Linked DNA regions of Arabidopsis thaliana. The protein of the gene in region 3 interacts with the protein of the main gene of each other region in a pairwise test. Each region holds a gene or a part of one and is shown on either strand. Other genes may lie near its edges.

Region 1 (5,754 bases), on a different chromosome or scaffold from region 3:
TTCTCTGCTCAATGAGGTTGGAACCATTATTTGAACGCTATGATGAATTCTCTTCTTCCTGTCGTTTTTTCTTTGCAGTTTATCCGAGAGTACTCTGGCAAAGTGGATGAGCTAATAAAGGACAAGCTTGAGGCACAAAAAGAGGTGAAGGCCAAAGAGCAGGAAGAGAAGGATGTCATATCCCAACAGGTACTACTTATGACACAGCTACACTGGATATCATCCGACTCTTTATCTTGACAGATACACTTAAAGGAGTAATATGTTTTTCTTTTGTTTTTAAACAGAACATGTATGCCCAAATGTTGCCACTTGCTTTACCTGCACCACCGATGCCAGGAATGGGAGGTGGTGGTGGGTATGGTCCTCCACCACAAATGGGCGGTATGCCAGGAATGCCTCCCATGCCACCATATGGAATGCCACCGATGGGCGGCTACTAAAGCAGACCAGCTTATGCTTTAATATCCGCATTTGGAAAAGTATCAGTAGCGCATAGAGTCGGCCCAATTTGCTAGGGCGGTGTTCATCTGCTAGCTAGCTTATATGTCTGACCAGAATTTGTCTGGGAATAATGTGGATAATAACCTCCTTTCGTTGTAATATTCTGTTGGGTTTAGGTGAGTAATTTTTTTTTAACTTTTTGTCAAAAGCCATTTTTGAGTATATATACTCAACTCTCTTACTCATATGAGTTTTGTAGTTGTACTTTCCTTCAGCATTTCATTCCATTCGACTTTCGATTTATTAAACCGTTGATCAGTTTCACCTTGTTGTTATTCATATATGAAACAATTAATATCGAGAAGGACTAAATAAATCCTTCATGAGAATTTGGTTGACCTCAGAACAATCATCATCATTCATCAGCATCAGAAAGACATAGATGCAACGTGAATCTCATTTTCATGAAATAATAATGAAATCTTAGGGTAGGTTTATTTCACATGTACACATAAAAACCTAAGTACCAATAGTCATCTGAACATCATGAACTAAAAATTGCATCCCTCCGTAAACACACATTTCTGCTACATTACTAAGAAAACGTTCTGGATAGAAAGATTCAATCAACCCAACATACTTTGTTTTTATTAGTATACTTAGATGACATACAAATTCACTTGGTATTTCTAATATCAAAAGTTCAACCTTCACCAGGATAAAACTCATCCAGCGCAGACACTAACTATAGATAATCAATTAAACCAAAATGATAAGCAGATTGAAGAACTTTAAGGAGAATCAGTAACTCATAAGGATCATTCCATGTAATAAACATAATTCTAATAGAAAACATAGATTCGATTTGGTCCAACAAAACATTCAAATTGAAAATTGCAAAACCAACAAAACTCACATAAGAGTTGGTTCTAAAAAGAAGAAAGACAAAACAAACTCCCGAATCTACTTAGATCGCTGTCTCATCTTTCGTCTCTTCCTCTTCAATCTCCTCATACGCTTCTTCTTCCACTGCAACACACAAACACACAAACCATAAAGATCCTACACACTACTTCAATTTCTCATCACTAAAAAATCCATTAAACAATCAAAACCCATTACTAACCTTGGCTCTCATGCTGATTTCGCAGAAGCTGTCTCCTTCGTTCCTCTGATTATTTGTTTAGCTTTACAGGATGAGGAGCGGCGGAGATGAATAGAAAGATTTTGTAGCTTACGCTCTTATTCCTCCTTTAAACAACAACAAAACCCTAGTAACTAACTTAATGGGCTTTATTATTTCAAAAGCCCAATAAAACCCAAATGGATAAGAATTTGCCAGAGGGGATATTCGCACAGAGAGAGAAAGAAGATCTTTTTCCGACAAGGTTCAAGATCGATTAAACATTACATGGAGGAGATTCACTAGAAAGAAAGGAAAAAAATCTCTTTGTCTTTGCAGATGCGACACGCAAAACGACGATTCTGATCTCGCTTGTCTGATTTCAAAAACAATGAGAAGATAGTTCTGATTATATAACACACAAACCCTACTTCATTCCTTCATCATCGTCTCCAATCATTACCCAAAGATCCGTCTTTTTCTTTACTTCATGTCGAAGCAAACGTACAAAGTGTGTTTCTGCTTTCGCCGGAGGTTTCGTTACACTGCATCGGAGGCACCGCGTGAGATCAAGACCATTTTCGAAAAGTACTCAGAGAATGGAGTTATGACCGTTGATCATCTCCACAGGTTTCTGATCGATGTTCAGAAACAAGATAAAGCCACCAGAGAAGATGCACAGTCAATTATCAATTCTGCATCTTCTCTTCTTCATCGTAATGGTCTCCATCTTGATGCTTTCTTCAAGTACCTCTTTGGTGATAATAACCCTCCTCTTGCTCTCCATAAGGTAATTTTCGTGTTATTTCGATTTTATGAGTTCAGAATCTGAAGTAAACTATGATTGATTGATATAAGAAACTCAGATTTTGGATTGGGATTTTTCGTTTTCCTTGTTTGGTAATTGAGGAAATGGTGTGAGGAAGTGAGATTTTTGGAATAATTTGTTTGAATGTTTCACTGAGTCTAATCAAGAGTTCGAACTTCGAAGCTGCTGTTTGGTAGAAAGTCGTAGGAGCTATGTACTTTTTAGGTGTTGTGGAATAAGTCTGATTCAAGAATTTGAAGCAATAGAATTGTTTTTCTTTTTATGTCTCAAAAAAAAAAAAAAAGTTGAGAAAGTAACATATCTAGGAATGTGACATTTACTCTATTAGGAACTCTGACACAAAAATCCATGATACAAGTAATTAATATTTTTACAATTCCGGCTATACATGTAATTGTGACTCAATTGTGCTAGCTTTTATTTTCAGATTGATTATAGACTTATCTCTAATGAATTTGTGGTGTTTCAGGTGCATCATGACATGGATGCTCCTATATCGCATTATTTCATATTCACTGGTCATAATTCTTATCTGACTGGTAATCAGCTGAGCAGTGACTGTAGTGAGGTACCTATTATTGATGCGTTGAAGAAAGGTGTTAGAGTCATTGAATTGGATATATGGCCCAATTCCAACAAAGACGATATTGATGTTCTTCACGGAATGTATAATTTTGCTTCAAATTTATTTCGAAAAACAAGTCAAGGTTAGGTGCTTGGCGTTTAACTTGTTTACTGAACCATTCTTAAACAGGACTCTCACTACACCTGTGGGGTTGATCAAATGTCTCAAAGCTATCAGAGCACATGCCTTTGATGTATCTGACTATCCTGTTGTTGTAACTCTTGAAGATCATCTTACTCCAGATCTTCAGTCTAAAGTTGCTGAGGTAGCTTTTTATTTTGCATTTCTTTCTTTGCTGCTTTAATAGATGAGTACATTGGTTTTGAGATGTGTTTTCTTGTTGTATGATAGATGGTTACTGAGATATTTGGGGAAATTCTGTTTACTCCTCCTGTGGGAGAATCTTTGAAGGAGTTCCCATCGCCAAACTCTTTAAAAAGACGTATTATCATCTCAACCAAACCCCCAAAAGAGTACAAGGAAGGAAAAGATGTGGAAGTGGTGCAGAAAGGTAAAGACTTGGGGGATGAAGAAGTTTGGGGAAGAGAAGTTCCGAGCTTTATTCAGAGGAACAAAAGTGAAGCTAAGGTGTGTACGAAGACAAATCATTTTCATTCTGTTCTGTTGCTGTTCATGGACAAACATGTTAGTTTTCTTTCTTGTTGCAGGATGACTTAGATGGAAATGATGATGATGACGATGATGATGATGAAGACAAGTCTAAGATTAATGCACCACCCCAGTATAAACATTTGATTGCAATCCATGCTGGGAAACCAAAAGGCGGAATTACTGAGTGTTTAAAGGTAGATCCTGACAAGGTTAGACGCCTTAGCTTAAGCGAAGAACAACTTGAAAAGGCAGCAGAAAAATATGCGAAGCAGATTGTGAGGTATAGTCATATTATGTTTTTATGTTTCTAAGTAATAGTTGCAGTTTGTCAACTCAATATGAATCCTGTTAATCATGGTGTGGCGCAGGTTTACTCAGCACAATTTGCTGAGGATATACCCAAAAGGAACTAGAGTCACATCATCAAATTACAACCCGTTGGTTGGCTGGAGCCACGGTGCTCAAATGGTGGCTTTCAATATGCAGGTATCTCCTTCTGCTATATTACCAACTTCTTTCTACGTAGTAGTAAAACTTCTAGTTATTTTGGAGGAGCTATGTTCCATCATTTTACAGGACATCAACCTTATTCCTCAGCTGATTTGATTGTGATCTTTTTCCATGTACAGGGGTATGGAAGATCATTGTGGCTAATGCAGGGAATGTTTAGAGCCAATGGCGGATGTGGCTACATCAAGAAACCTGACCTTCTGCTGAAAAGTGGTTCGGATAGTGACATATTTGACCCAAAAGCTACTCTACCTGTGAAAACAACACTTAGGGTGAGATATCTGATTCTCTGGTTGGTCTTTCTTTTACCAATTCAAATCCGATCAAACTCAGTGAACTTATTCTTTCCCTTAGGTAACTGTATACATGGGAGAAGGCTGGTACTTTGATTTCCGCCACACACACTTTGACCAATATTCACCGCCTGACTTCTATACAAGGGTCAATTTTTGATTCCCTGCCTTAAACCTCACACAAATGTTTTGAGATAGAACTGTTTCTTGTCTCTTATGCTTGCAATATAACAATTTGAGCTTTTGATGCATATTCAGGTTGGGATAGCTGGAGTTCCAGGGGATACAGTAATGAAGAAGACGAAAACACTGGAGGATAATTGGATACCAGCTTGGGATGAGGTGTTTGAGTTCCCATTAACCGTTCCAGAGCTGGCCCTGCTACGATTAGAAGTGCATGAGTATGACATGTCAGAGAAAGATGATTTTGGAGGACAGACATGCTTACCGGTTTGGGAGCTAAGCGAAGGAATAAGAGCATTTCCTTTACATAGCCGGAAAGGAGAGAAGTACAAATCCGTTAAGCTTCTCGTGAAGGTGGAGTTTGTGTGAGACATGATTAAGAAAGATACAGCATTTAAACTTGTCTGGTAGGTTTGAGTGCCACAGAGTTTGTGAATTTGGAGGATTTGTATGTGTGAGAGAGAATGTATGCTTGATTTGTTGTTTGTAATATTATGTACATAAAAGACGAAAGTGAGAGAGAGAGAGACGGTCTTGTATCGTGTGTTGTTGTATTATTATGTAGTAGTCTCGTGTAACACTTGAATCGTATGATGATTTGTGGTTTTTGTGTAACAAGTGTGTTTTAAAACTTGTTTGATTCCATTCCACCAAGAAGGCTTCAAAGAATTTTCTTATGTATCACATAAAACTGATCGAATTTCCATAAACATAACCAATCACACCCCATAAAACAAAATTGGCCAAAAAGAAAAGAGAAAGGATATTTTAGTAAATGAAAGAGAGAGGTGGTGGTGGAGGTGGAGGAAGCGCGCTCTATCTCAAAAACGTTGGGGTCTGCTTGGTCCTCAACAATTGAAAACCGTACAAATTCAATTTCTTCACATAAAGCTCTCTCTTCCTTCTCCATTCTTCCACCCTTTTTTTTCTTCTCTCCGCACAAATCCCCAAATGTCCGATAGGTATCGTAATCCCCCAACTTCTCGATTCATCAAACTCTTCAATTTTGTGTCTCTTTGATTGGTGATAAAGATTGATTCTTTCGTTTCTGGGGACGATGATTCATTTGATTTCTTTTTTGTAGGATACTGTGCAAGTTCTTTGTCCATGGCTCGTGCTTGAAAGGCGAAAATTG
Region 2 (4,184 bases), on a different chromosome or scaffold from region 3:
CGCGAGTCTGCGACTTTAAATCCTTCAAACTTTTATATATGGGCTATGTGTGAGTGGTGTAAGGTGTATTTGGATACGTAATACGTTATACGTTAGCATATGTTTTCTTGAATATTATCAGTGTGTACGAATAGATTAAATTGAACGAGCTGAGACTACAGAATTTAAATGAAATCAACGAGTCCCGCAGACAGATGTTAATAGTTTACTTATATGTATATGCTAAGAGTAATGTTATTGGGCTTTTGGTTTATTTATGTTAGTCCATATGTTTATGAGCCTAAACCTATGTGATACTTATTAGAAAGCGAGTACGTTTTTTTATTTTTTGTTCATTATAAGCAAGTACGTTGAAGAAGAAGACAAGAAATATGTTTCCTTTTGACACCAAATGTTGATATTATTCATGAATTATGTCACCATATACGAAATCATATGCTAAGAACGTCATATCGTCTATACGAGCATCATCAATCAATTTATCAGCAAAAGTTTCACGTTGAGGTTGTCCTAGCAACATGTCAATGTATAATAAATATTTGGAGTAGAGGCAAGATATAACTACGAACATGCATATAATTCATATATATAATGTATATATGTGAGTATATATATTATAAAAGATCATGGCATGTACAACTTGTTGCCGCACTTGCATCTCCAAGCTTCCGGGTAGTATTCGGCGGTGACAGGCGTGCCGGGAGGCACCGGAACGTGAACAGGCTTGCACGGAGTGCATCTTCCACACTTGGAGGAGCACCGTGGTGGAGATGAGCCCAATCCCCTTAGAATCCTCCGTAGCTCTGCCTCCTTGCTCCGGTCACCGATCTTCCTAGTCTTCTTTATCACTACGGTACTCTTGCCTTCCTCCTGAACACATACTCAAAACGTACATATTATCACATTTTTCATTACTAAATATATATTCAAACGTATACATATCCTAATTTATTATTTTCTTCATTAGGATAATACATCTAGTAAAACAAACCAAACAATATGGTTAATCAAGAATAATTAGTATTTTCTAATTAACGTTCAATAATTAGTATCTTCTAGTGAACTCAATTTCAGCTGCTATCAACATAAGATAGTGAGAGGACTGCGTTACTAACGTGCGATTTCATGCTGACATACGCATATTATTGTTAAAATGCGCAGTTTAGGTAAAAAACATTTTTAAGACAGGGTTGGGGATGTGAGACAAGACGCGGGAAAACCGCTCCGGAAAAAGCGCTACGCACATTACCAAAAAGGGCAGAGAGATTGAGAAGTTCCAAGAGCCTGTCATACGTTAACGTGCACCGTGGGGGCTAATATTACCACTCGATCGAGATCGTAAGCAAGGCAGGGTCCCACGAGTGGTGAACGAACCAAAAGTTGAGTACTGTCCTTGTCCTCGTGTGCGCTGAAACCAATCCGACGGCTGAGAATTTCTTTAGGAGTACATGGCATCTCTGCATGCCCAGTCAGTCTCGACATGCCGTCACAGTCGCTGACTGTTCAAGCGCAGTTTAGCCACAACCCTTTTGTTTGTGTAGTCCTTTTAGAGAACCCCGCATTATAAGCTTATATTATTTATGGAAAAAAAAAAAAAAGCTTATATTATTTTTAAAGTGTGTTTAATGATGAATCAACATCAATCTTGTCCTCCAAAGATGCTTGAATCAGGAGAAAATAGAAACTAAGCTTTTTTTGGATTTTATGTGGTTATAGTTATGCCAAAAAAAAGGAAGTTAACACGGTTTTTGATTCCTATTTCCTAACTAATTGTTGACTCAACAGCAAAAAAACAAAAACAATTGTTACTTGTTAGATCACGCAAGAGAGTAAGAGGTATAAACAGTTTACGAACCTTTGCATAGAAGTTCCCTAGTGTCCCAGAGTTAGAATTCCTATTATCTGCATTTTTACAACAAGATAATATATGAATGGTACTGTAATAATTTATGTTACGTAACCAAAAATATTCTAAGATATTAATGTTTGAGAAAGTTGATAATTAATATGATAACGAGAAAAAGAAAGATGGCTTACATGGAGAAGAAGTCGAAGTGGGAGTTATAGTGAAGGTGGCAATGACACAGAGGACGAAGAAGAGTAGCAATAAATAGAAGAGACTGAACTTGGCTCTCGTGTTTTCTGATGGTTGTAATGATGATGGTAATGATGATGATAATAATGATAATGATGATGATGTTCTCTCGAAACCCATAATTACGAAACTTTCTGAAAACCTAAGAAGAGGCTAGCAGAGATTAGTTATGATCTCCTCATCCATGCGAAAAAAAAAACTTGGTGGGTTTTTAAAAAACTTGAGATGAAAATGGAAATCAAGAAAAGATTATTGAAAAGGAATATTGAATGTCTTTTGGTTTTTATGATTTGGGTTTTCTCAAAAAACGAGAGTGAGTAGTGGGAGTGGTTGAGAGTGAGAAAGAGCAAATGGAGTCGACTATGAGAGATAGAACAAGGAGGGGTTAACTGCAAAAATGTGTGATTAAATATGGAAATTTATATATAAAAGGATAATAAGAAAAGAAATAAGAAGATAAAATAGTATATGAGTGGGAAATGAGAGAAAGAGTGTAAGAAGAGAGAAGTAATTAAGAAAGGTACCTAAGCATTGCTAAGTTTGGGAGTTAGATTCTCCTGCACCCTATTCTCTCTGTCATTGTACCCTTCCTTTCACCAGAAATTGCTTTTAGCAATCTTCCAAGCTATACATATATATACACATACACACTCATATGTTTATCTATTGTATATTTTATATGTAGTTATATTTCTTGATTAAGTTCTTTCATATGCATGTGTGTAGGGTTTAACATATCATAAGTACTCAAGATTAGGGTTTCACTTAGTTTATTATTATTGTTGGGGGGGGGGGGGGGGAAATGACTGCTTGGTAGAAACTTAAAAAAAAAAATCATAATTAAGGTAGAGAGATGAGAGGTGATTGATTTGAAGAGAGATGAGTAAGGGAGGGCCGTAGGATGATATATGAGTTTGATTCTAAAGGCAAGGAGGTATGGACAAAACATCCCAACAAATGTGTAAGAAGGGTTCCATGTTCATTCCTAAATTACACATTTATATATGTAGTTTTAACAATAACTTTTTACTCCTATCAATTCAAGCAAAGGTTATATACTAAAGATTCTTAATAGTATAAATAGAAAAAACAATAACTGTTGAAACGGTACTAAATATATATATAAAAATGGCAAACAAGTTGCAGTATAAACTTTTAACAATGGGATTAGTAAATTCTTTTTTTTTTTTAATTCTAAAAGAAAGCTATTAGACAACAAAATATTTAATGATTTTAGCATGAAGCATGAGAGAAACTAATATTTTGGAAAAATTTATAGGTTATCAAATGTACATATATCAATGCTTCAAAATTTCTTGTTACGTTTGACAATACCATTTTTATGCGGTCTAGATTATGCAACAATATAATCATCCTAATACCAAATATTTTATTTTTATGTTGAATTGGTAATATTATATCTAGTGTTGGTAGAATACGTCTGATTACAACTATACAATTGAACGTTCGTGAGGACATAGTGAACCACAACTGAAAAAATTGTGTAAAATTAATGGTTCATATGATCATATCTAATATACTAGTTTTGTGATTGGTGGAGGGAAAGAAATCAAAGGTAACATGCCCAACAAAGCTGTCTCGCCTTAAGTTTCTATAAAACAAAATCTGAAAGTTTTTTTTTTGTTACAATTAACGGAGTTCAAAAAAAAAAAAAAAATAGAGCTCAAAATGTGACATAACCATTAGTCCATTAGAAAGAAACTTAAGATGAAGAGAAGTAATATAAAATGTTAAACAAAATCCCATATGTTCTTTACATATATATAGGTTTTTGATTTACATTTTATATTCTTAAACTATAATTTTGTTATAACTAAAGGCTATGTCTCTTAAAATTATTTCTTTGATCATGTGTCGAGAAATATTAATTCTGACGTGGGTTTAGAAGCTTTTTTGTACATTTAAGATTGTGTGATATTAGATCGGACAATATCAATTTTTTTTTGTTTTATTTTTCTTGATTAAGTTATTTGGAAACCCCAAAACATAGCTGATAGCCTTGAAAGAAAGCGAAATTTCCATTGTTGATTGATCACTTAAACATAACCATCAATTTAAAATCTATATA
Region 3 (5,914 bases):
GTTATCTGAGAAGAACTTTTCCTCGAAAATCTACTAAGAGAATCGAATTCGCTATCTTCAACGATTTTCAAATAAATAAGAAGAACTCACCTGTTATCTTGATTGAAAGAAACACAATAGATAGGAGAAGGAAGAGAGGACAGATTCGCCATGTCTCCCAAATTGTTTAAGCAGCTGTCTTAATGTTTTCTGCTTTTTATATATGTTCTGTTTTTCGTCTTCTTCTTCTCAAAACGCTGTCGTTTCTTCTCTTCTGTTACTTTTCAGAACGACGACGTTTTCGATTGAGTGGGATAAGCTTTGTTTGGTTTGTGATGAGAACTGAAAATGACACATGAGAGTCAAAGTTGGACAAAAGTCGCAACACATTAAGCTTAAAGGACCACAAACACAAAGCAGCAGCTTATGATAACTACAAAAGATAAATTCTCAGGAATTGTTTGATACGATTTTGAGTATGTGTGAGAGAGAGCAAATCAGATTCTGGTCAAAAGAAAAGACTCAAACAAATCAGTCTCATAGTTTCTTCCTTTGTCATCATCATAATGTTAAAGGAAGCAAAATAATCATAGAAACTCACAATTAAAAGTTAATATATACATCATCAACATAACGAACACATAATCTCAAACTGTAGAGATATTTTTCATCAATTTTCACCACCATATACATGTCTATATTATAAAAGTGTAGAGCTTTTTTCATTGGATTGTTTGATCCATCGTAAAAATGATATCTTTCTTTCATTGTGTTATCTTGGACCGGATAGTTCCATGGCAAAGGAATCTAAAGGCTGATGATCATCGTCATCATCGAAAGCCGAAGATCCAAACATTTGATAAGTTGGATCATTGCAATGTGCGTCAAGCCTTGAGACAGAAGTAGTAGACAGAGAAGAGATTGTCTTGAAAGAGATATTGGCATGGTAGAAATGTGAATGGTTATGCGAAGCAGCCCATCTCTCGGCTAATCCATCGCCTTCAAGCATCAAAACAACTTCAGACATTTTAGGACGATGAGCTGGCAGATATTGTGTGCATAGCAAAGCCACTTGCAACATCTCTCCAACTTCAATCTTATCGTAGTTAGTTCCGAGTTCTCGATCCAATAGTTCCTCTACTTTCATCTCTTCATGTAATTTCCTCACCTAAACCAATGTTACAACAGCATCCGGAGAAAATGTTAATTTGGTTGATCTTATGAAGTAATCAAGAAAGTGTACTTCTGAGTGTCATTTCTTACCCATTCAAGCATAGCTCCTTTCTGGCTAACGGTTTTACCAAACTCAAGAGCTCTCAGTCCGGTTATGAGCTCGAGCAATAGTATACCGAACCCAAACACATCGGTTTTCTCAGAAGACTGACCAGTGGAGAGATATTCAGGTGCAATGTGGCCAACCGTACCACGGACCGCAGTTGTGACATGAGAATCCGCATGGTTAAGGAGCTTTGCGAGTCCAAAGTCACCAACAACAGCTTCAAAGCACTCGTCTAAGAGAATATTAGCTGCCTTTACATCTCTATGAATGATCTTGGGATCACATTGCTCATGTAGATACAACAAACCTCTCGCTGCACCAATTGCTATCCTCTTCCTCATGTTCCAGTCCAATGCCGGTTTAGCTACAACAGTTAAACAAAATTGGTTAAAACTCATCGAAAATGAGATTTGGACTGATGGTTCAAGACATTATACTAACATTTAAGCTTAGAGGCGACGCTTCCATTAGGCATGTAAGGGTAAACAAGAAGCCTTTCACCAGAAGTTGCGCAATAACCAATTAACCGAAGCAGATTCTTATGAACAGCTAAGCTAATCATCTCTAGCTCCATACGAAACTGTGAATCCCCTGAGGTTCCATTAATATCCTTCAACCGTTTCACTGCCACCATTGTCCCATCTCCAAGCTTGCCTCTGTACACATTACCGAATCCACCAGCGCCGAGAATGTTCTTGGAACTGAAACCATCTGTATAAACATGGAGTTCTCTGAATGTGAAGCTTCTTAGATTCCCAAGTCCTTGAAGCCCTTCCTCTTGTTTATCTGCTAAAAGCAAAACTAAAAACTCAACATCTTCCTGAATCAAAGTTATATAAGCAACAAGCTCAAATCGACGAACCGTTTAAGTTAAGGATCAGTAGCCTTCTTTGTTTCTTTCGGTACCAACAAAAGGACCCGAGAGCAAGGACTAGTATAACAACAGAGCCAAGGCTTACACTAAGAGCTATTGCCAATCTATTAGACCTGCGTCCTACACACACACTCAAGTATTGATTAATGAAAGGATCATTACAATGATGAAAACACTGCAAGAACGAGACTTTTACCTGATGAAGAGCTCAAAGAAACAGAAAGTGGACTTGCATTGATTGATCCAGAACAAATCTCAGGTGGGTTGCTTCTACAAATCAAAGGATTACCAGCAACGCTACAAATTCAAAAGGAAAGCAGAAGCAAGACTTAGTCTTGACTTCAACTACAAGAATTTGTGAAATCACTTCAAATTTTGAAACTTAAGGTTTATTATACTTGAAAGTCCTTGCTGGGAATTTAGGAACAGGGCCACTGAGATTGTTGTAAGACAAGTCCCTGAGTTTCAAAAGAATTTAAATTTCAGACAAAAAAAAACAAAACACTTCAGTAGGTGAAAGGACAAATCTGTATACACTCACAAGAAGGAGAGGTGAGGAATTTGGGACAAAGAAGCAGGGAAGGGCCCAGACAAAGAGTTGTTGTTGAGTCTCCTATTGGAAATTCAATTCGTACGAGGTTATTAAGATGATTAATGAACCGATGAAAACAAATCATCATTACATTGTAAACAAGATTGAAGAACAGAGGAGAGAAGCAAAGCTAAGCTCACAGATATTGAAGGCTGCTTAGCTGGTCGATGGAAACAGGGATGTCACCGGAGAATCGGTTGTTGGAAAGATCCAAGGTTTGTAATTTGGGTAGAAAACCGAGCTCCGGTGGAATTTTGCCGGAGATGTTGTTATTTTGCAATGACCTTCAAACAAAGCAAAAAAATTGGAATTGAGAAACAAGCAAAAAAGACAAACTTTATATTATAGAAAACAAGATCCGAGGATGTCGTAATCTTACACTTGTCGGAGATTTGTGAGATTTCCGATAGACTCAGATAAACCTCCCGAGAGAGACTGGCTCGGCGCTCCTCTACCATTGAGAGATAGAGAGAGAAATTGTCGCCATTAATGAACTCTAAAAGCAGAAAACAAACTCGGAAGAAAAGAAAGCTCACAGTCCAATGACGAGGTTGTCGGGAGAGCAAGTGATCATAGCCCAGCTACAAGGATCAACTGAAAACTCGTCCCAATTGTTCAAAGCTCCATGAGGATCATGCAAATTGTTCCTTATACTTATCAACGCCTCAACTGTAAAAAAAAAAAAAAACGGATTTTTGTTATAGAGTTGAGAAAAAAGATCCAATTTTTAAACTAAAGTAACAATAAAAGAAGCAAATTTTACCTTCAGGGTTTCTGGGCTCAGAAGATAGAGTGAGAGTAGAGAAACAGAGGAACAAGAACGAGTAAAGGAGATGAATTTGAATCTTCATGGTCTTCTTTGTTACTACTACCATGGAAGATTTTAGTTACGAGAGGTTAACAATAATTTTGAAGAGAAGAGAGACAGCATTACTTTATTTTTTTTCGGGGTAGTGACCACAAACACACATAGAAAAAGAAGAGAAAGCAAAAGCAAACAAAGCAAAAAGAAGAAGAAGGAGAAGAGATCTCTGCTTTTTTATTTTGAAAACAAGAAAGAAAGAAATCTCGGGTTTAGTAAACAAGTCTTTACGTTCGTCTTCTTCTCAAACAAACAGTCTCTCTCAGAGGAGATGAGTTTGTTGCTGAGAAAAGGTTTAAGCCGAAAAACGTTTAAATGAGAGGGAGAGAGAGGCAAGAGAGTGACATTTGTAGAGAGTGAATCAGGGGATGCTGATACGGACTGTCGGACCCGGGATGGTGGATGCTGGTCTACTCCAGTCTCTCTCTCACTCTTTTTCTTTGTCTTTTTTGTTCTTCTTAATGCCAATTTTTTTGTATATTTGGAACCATATATGTTTTTCTAATTTAGTCTTAATAAGTCCGATTAATAGATATAAAACTAAATTAGACTAAATTACATATAAATTTTAAAACTAAATTAGACTAAGTTTTAAAACAGTACAAAAAATTTAATAGATGTAAAACGCAAAAAAAAAAAAAGCGGTATATAATTACGATACTTAGGGCCTGTTTGTTTCTTCATCCAGATGGATTATTTAGATGGAGATGAAAAATGATGTTTGCTTTTGACAATTTAAGAGACCATTTGGATGAATCAGTTGGATGATCCATCTCAATGATTTTTAAAAATTAAGCAAAATTATGAAACTCATTTGGATAGACTTGATAGGACCATTTGAATGGAGATGGTTTACTCAAAAACAACAAATGACAAATATACCCTCTTTTAATAATGTTAATTTTCTATAACTTTCTAATTTAATATAAAAATTTTAATTACATATTAAACCAAAAAAACATTCTAAGAATCATGAAATCGCGGACTATTATTTTACGTCAAAATTGTAAATTCATTTTCTCCGCAAAAACCATAAAATCATTTTTCTCGCCAAAACGTTAAATTCATACTTTCCCGCCAAAACCGCAAAATTTTGTTTTCCCGCGAAAACCGTAAAATTATTTTTTCCGCCAAAACCGCAAAATCATGTTTTCCCGCCAAAACCGTAAAATCATGTTTTCCCGCCAAAACCGTAAAATTATTTTTCCCGTCAAAACCGCAAAATCATGTTTTTCCGTCAAAACCGTAAAATCATGTTTTCCCGCCAAAACCGCAAAATTATGTTTTCCCGCTAAAACTGCAAAATTTTGTTTTCCCGCTAAAACCGCAAAATTTTGTTTTCCCGCCAAAACCGTAGAATCATTTTTCCCGCCAAAACCGTAAAATACTTTCATTTGTCAAAGTGAAAGCATGAGTATTTTAGTTATTTTTATCTAAATGAAAATGTGGATGAATTACAAAATAATCAAATAAAAAAATATTCATTTAAATGCATCATTTAGAAAAAATATCAAATAATCAAACAAACATATTCAAATAAACCATTCAAATGAATCATGTAAATGGATCATTAGAATGCAAATGCTAACTGATCAAACAAACAGGGCCTTAGTTAACAACTAAACCCAATATTTTTTGGTAATTTTTACCGGCATGATAGATCTATTATTTCTATTAAAATGGATTGGTTAAACGGTAAGCTAAACTATGATAAGAGCAAATGGTACAGAAGGGGTAAAAAAAAATTTACATAGAAGTTATATATAAAGATTTTTAAAAAGAAACATCTGCATATTGTACATGGACGATGAATTGACCAAAATCGACTTGGGTTTACATTCAATAATTTTCTAATTTTATTATGTGTAAAAAAATAATTTATATTTTATAAAACAAATTGGAGAACATTGATGTAATGTAGTAGGACTACCAGTGACAGGCTAGAGGACTGATGCACTCTAAAATAGCTTCATCCTCTTTCCTCTTTTGTCTTCTTCTCTAAAGAAATCCATCTTAATGAAAACAGTATTTCACCATAAGATGAAATTTGATATTTGATATCTCCCTACCTAAATTTGAACTTTAATGATAATGATATTTAATGATTCGCATATAAAGAAATTATTGTATAAATATGTCAAAACGAAACAACATGAGATAGTGATACGAAGAGAAACTTGCAACAAGTAACAAATGCCTGAAATAGGTGAATCCACACACTTGCCCTGATGAGGTTGTGTTGTTACATTATTTATGATAAGTCCCTATACTTTTGATTTCTTTCCTTTTTCGCCTTTCTAATTTCTTTGTCATTATTTTGGCCCACCT

Evidence for each region. Proteins that work in one complex are often made in the same cells at the same time.
Region 1: the proteins of SARK (region 3) and PLC2 interact in a protein complementation assay, tested with the Arabidopsis thaliana proteins (one large-scale study listed by BioGRID).
Region 2: the proteins of SARK (region 3) and CHAL interact in a protein complementation assay, tested with the Arabidopsis thaliana proteins (one large-scale study listed by BioGRID).

Annotation. Positions count from the first base shown.
Region 1 is NC_003074.8:2,581,860-2,587,613, reverse strand, and holds PLC2 (phospholipase C 2), read left to right. Parts: upstream 1-1,715; 5' UTR 1,716-2,057; coding exon 2,058-2,357; intron 2,358-2,865; coding exon 2,866-3,062; intron 3,063-3,150; coding exon 3,151-3,286; intron 3,287-3,372; coding exon 3,373-3,609; intron 3,610-3,689; coding exon 3,690-3,913; intron 3,914-4,001; coding exon 4,002-4,119; intron 4,120-4,262; coding exon 4,263-4,415; intron 4,416-4,497; coding exon 4,498-4,584; intron 4,585-4,694; coding exon 4,695-4,988; 3' UTR 4,989-5,252; downstream 5,253-5,754. Other genes in the region: AT3G08530 (Clathrin, heavy chain), read left to right, coding at 79-189, 288-443; AT3G08520 (Ribosomal protein L41 family), read right to left, coding at 1,408-1,473, 1,571-1,582; AT3G08505 (zinc finger (CCCH-type/C3HC4-type RING finger) family protein), read left to right, coding at 5,571-5,581, 5,704-5,754. UniProt on the Arabidopsis thaliana protein: The production of the second messenger molecules diacylglycerol (DAG) and inositol 1,4,5-trisphosphate (IP3) is mediated by activated phosphatidylinositol-specific phospholipase C enzymes.
Region 2 is NC_003071.7:12,939,953-12,944,136, forward strand, and holds CHAL (allergen-like protein), read right to left. Parts: upstream 2,458-4,184; 5' UTR 2,238-2,457; coding exon of another isoform or gene 2,216-2,237; coding exon 2,038-2,215; intron 1,903-2,037; coding exon 1,810-1,902; intron 1,500-1,809; coding exon 1,324-1,499; intron 871-1,323; coding exon 625-870; 3' UTR 503-624; downstream 1-502. UniProt on the Arabidopsis thaliana protein: Acts primarily as positive regulator of inflorescence growth. Endodermal expression is sufficient for proper inflorescence architecture. Redundantly involved with EPFL4 in procambial development regulation.
Region 3 is NC_003075.7:14,907,442-14,913,355, forward strand, and holds SARK (Leucine-rich repeat protein kinase family protein), read right to left. Parts: upstream 4,006-5,914; 5' UTR 3,600-4,005; coding exon 3,488-3,599; intron 3,394-3,487; coding exon 3,261-3,393; intron 3,176-3,260; coding exon 3,104-3,175; intron 3,009-3,103; coding exon 2,865-3,008; intron 2,746-2,864; coding exon 2,674-2,745; intron 2,591-2,673; coding exon 2,531-2,590; intron 2,430-2,530; coding exon 2,329-2,429; intron 2,253-2,328; coding exon 2,121-2,252; intron 2,045-2,120; coding exon 1,700-2,044; intron 1,623-1,699; coding exon 1,243-1,622; intron 1,148-1,242; coding exon 752-1,147; 3' UTR 501-751; downstream 1-500. Other genes in the region: ATG18B (autophagy 18 B-like protein), read right to left, coding at 91-152.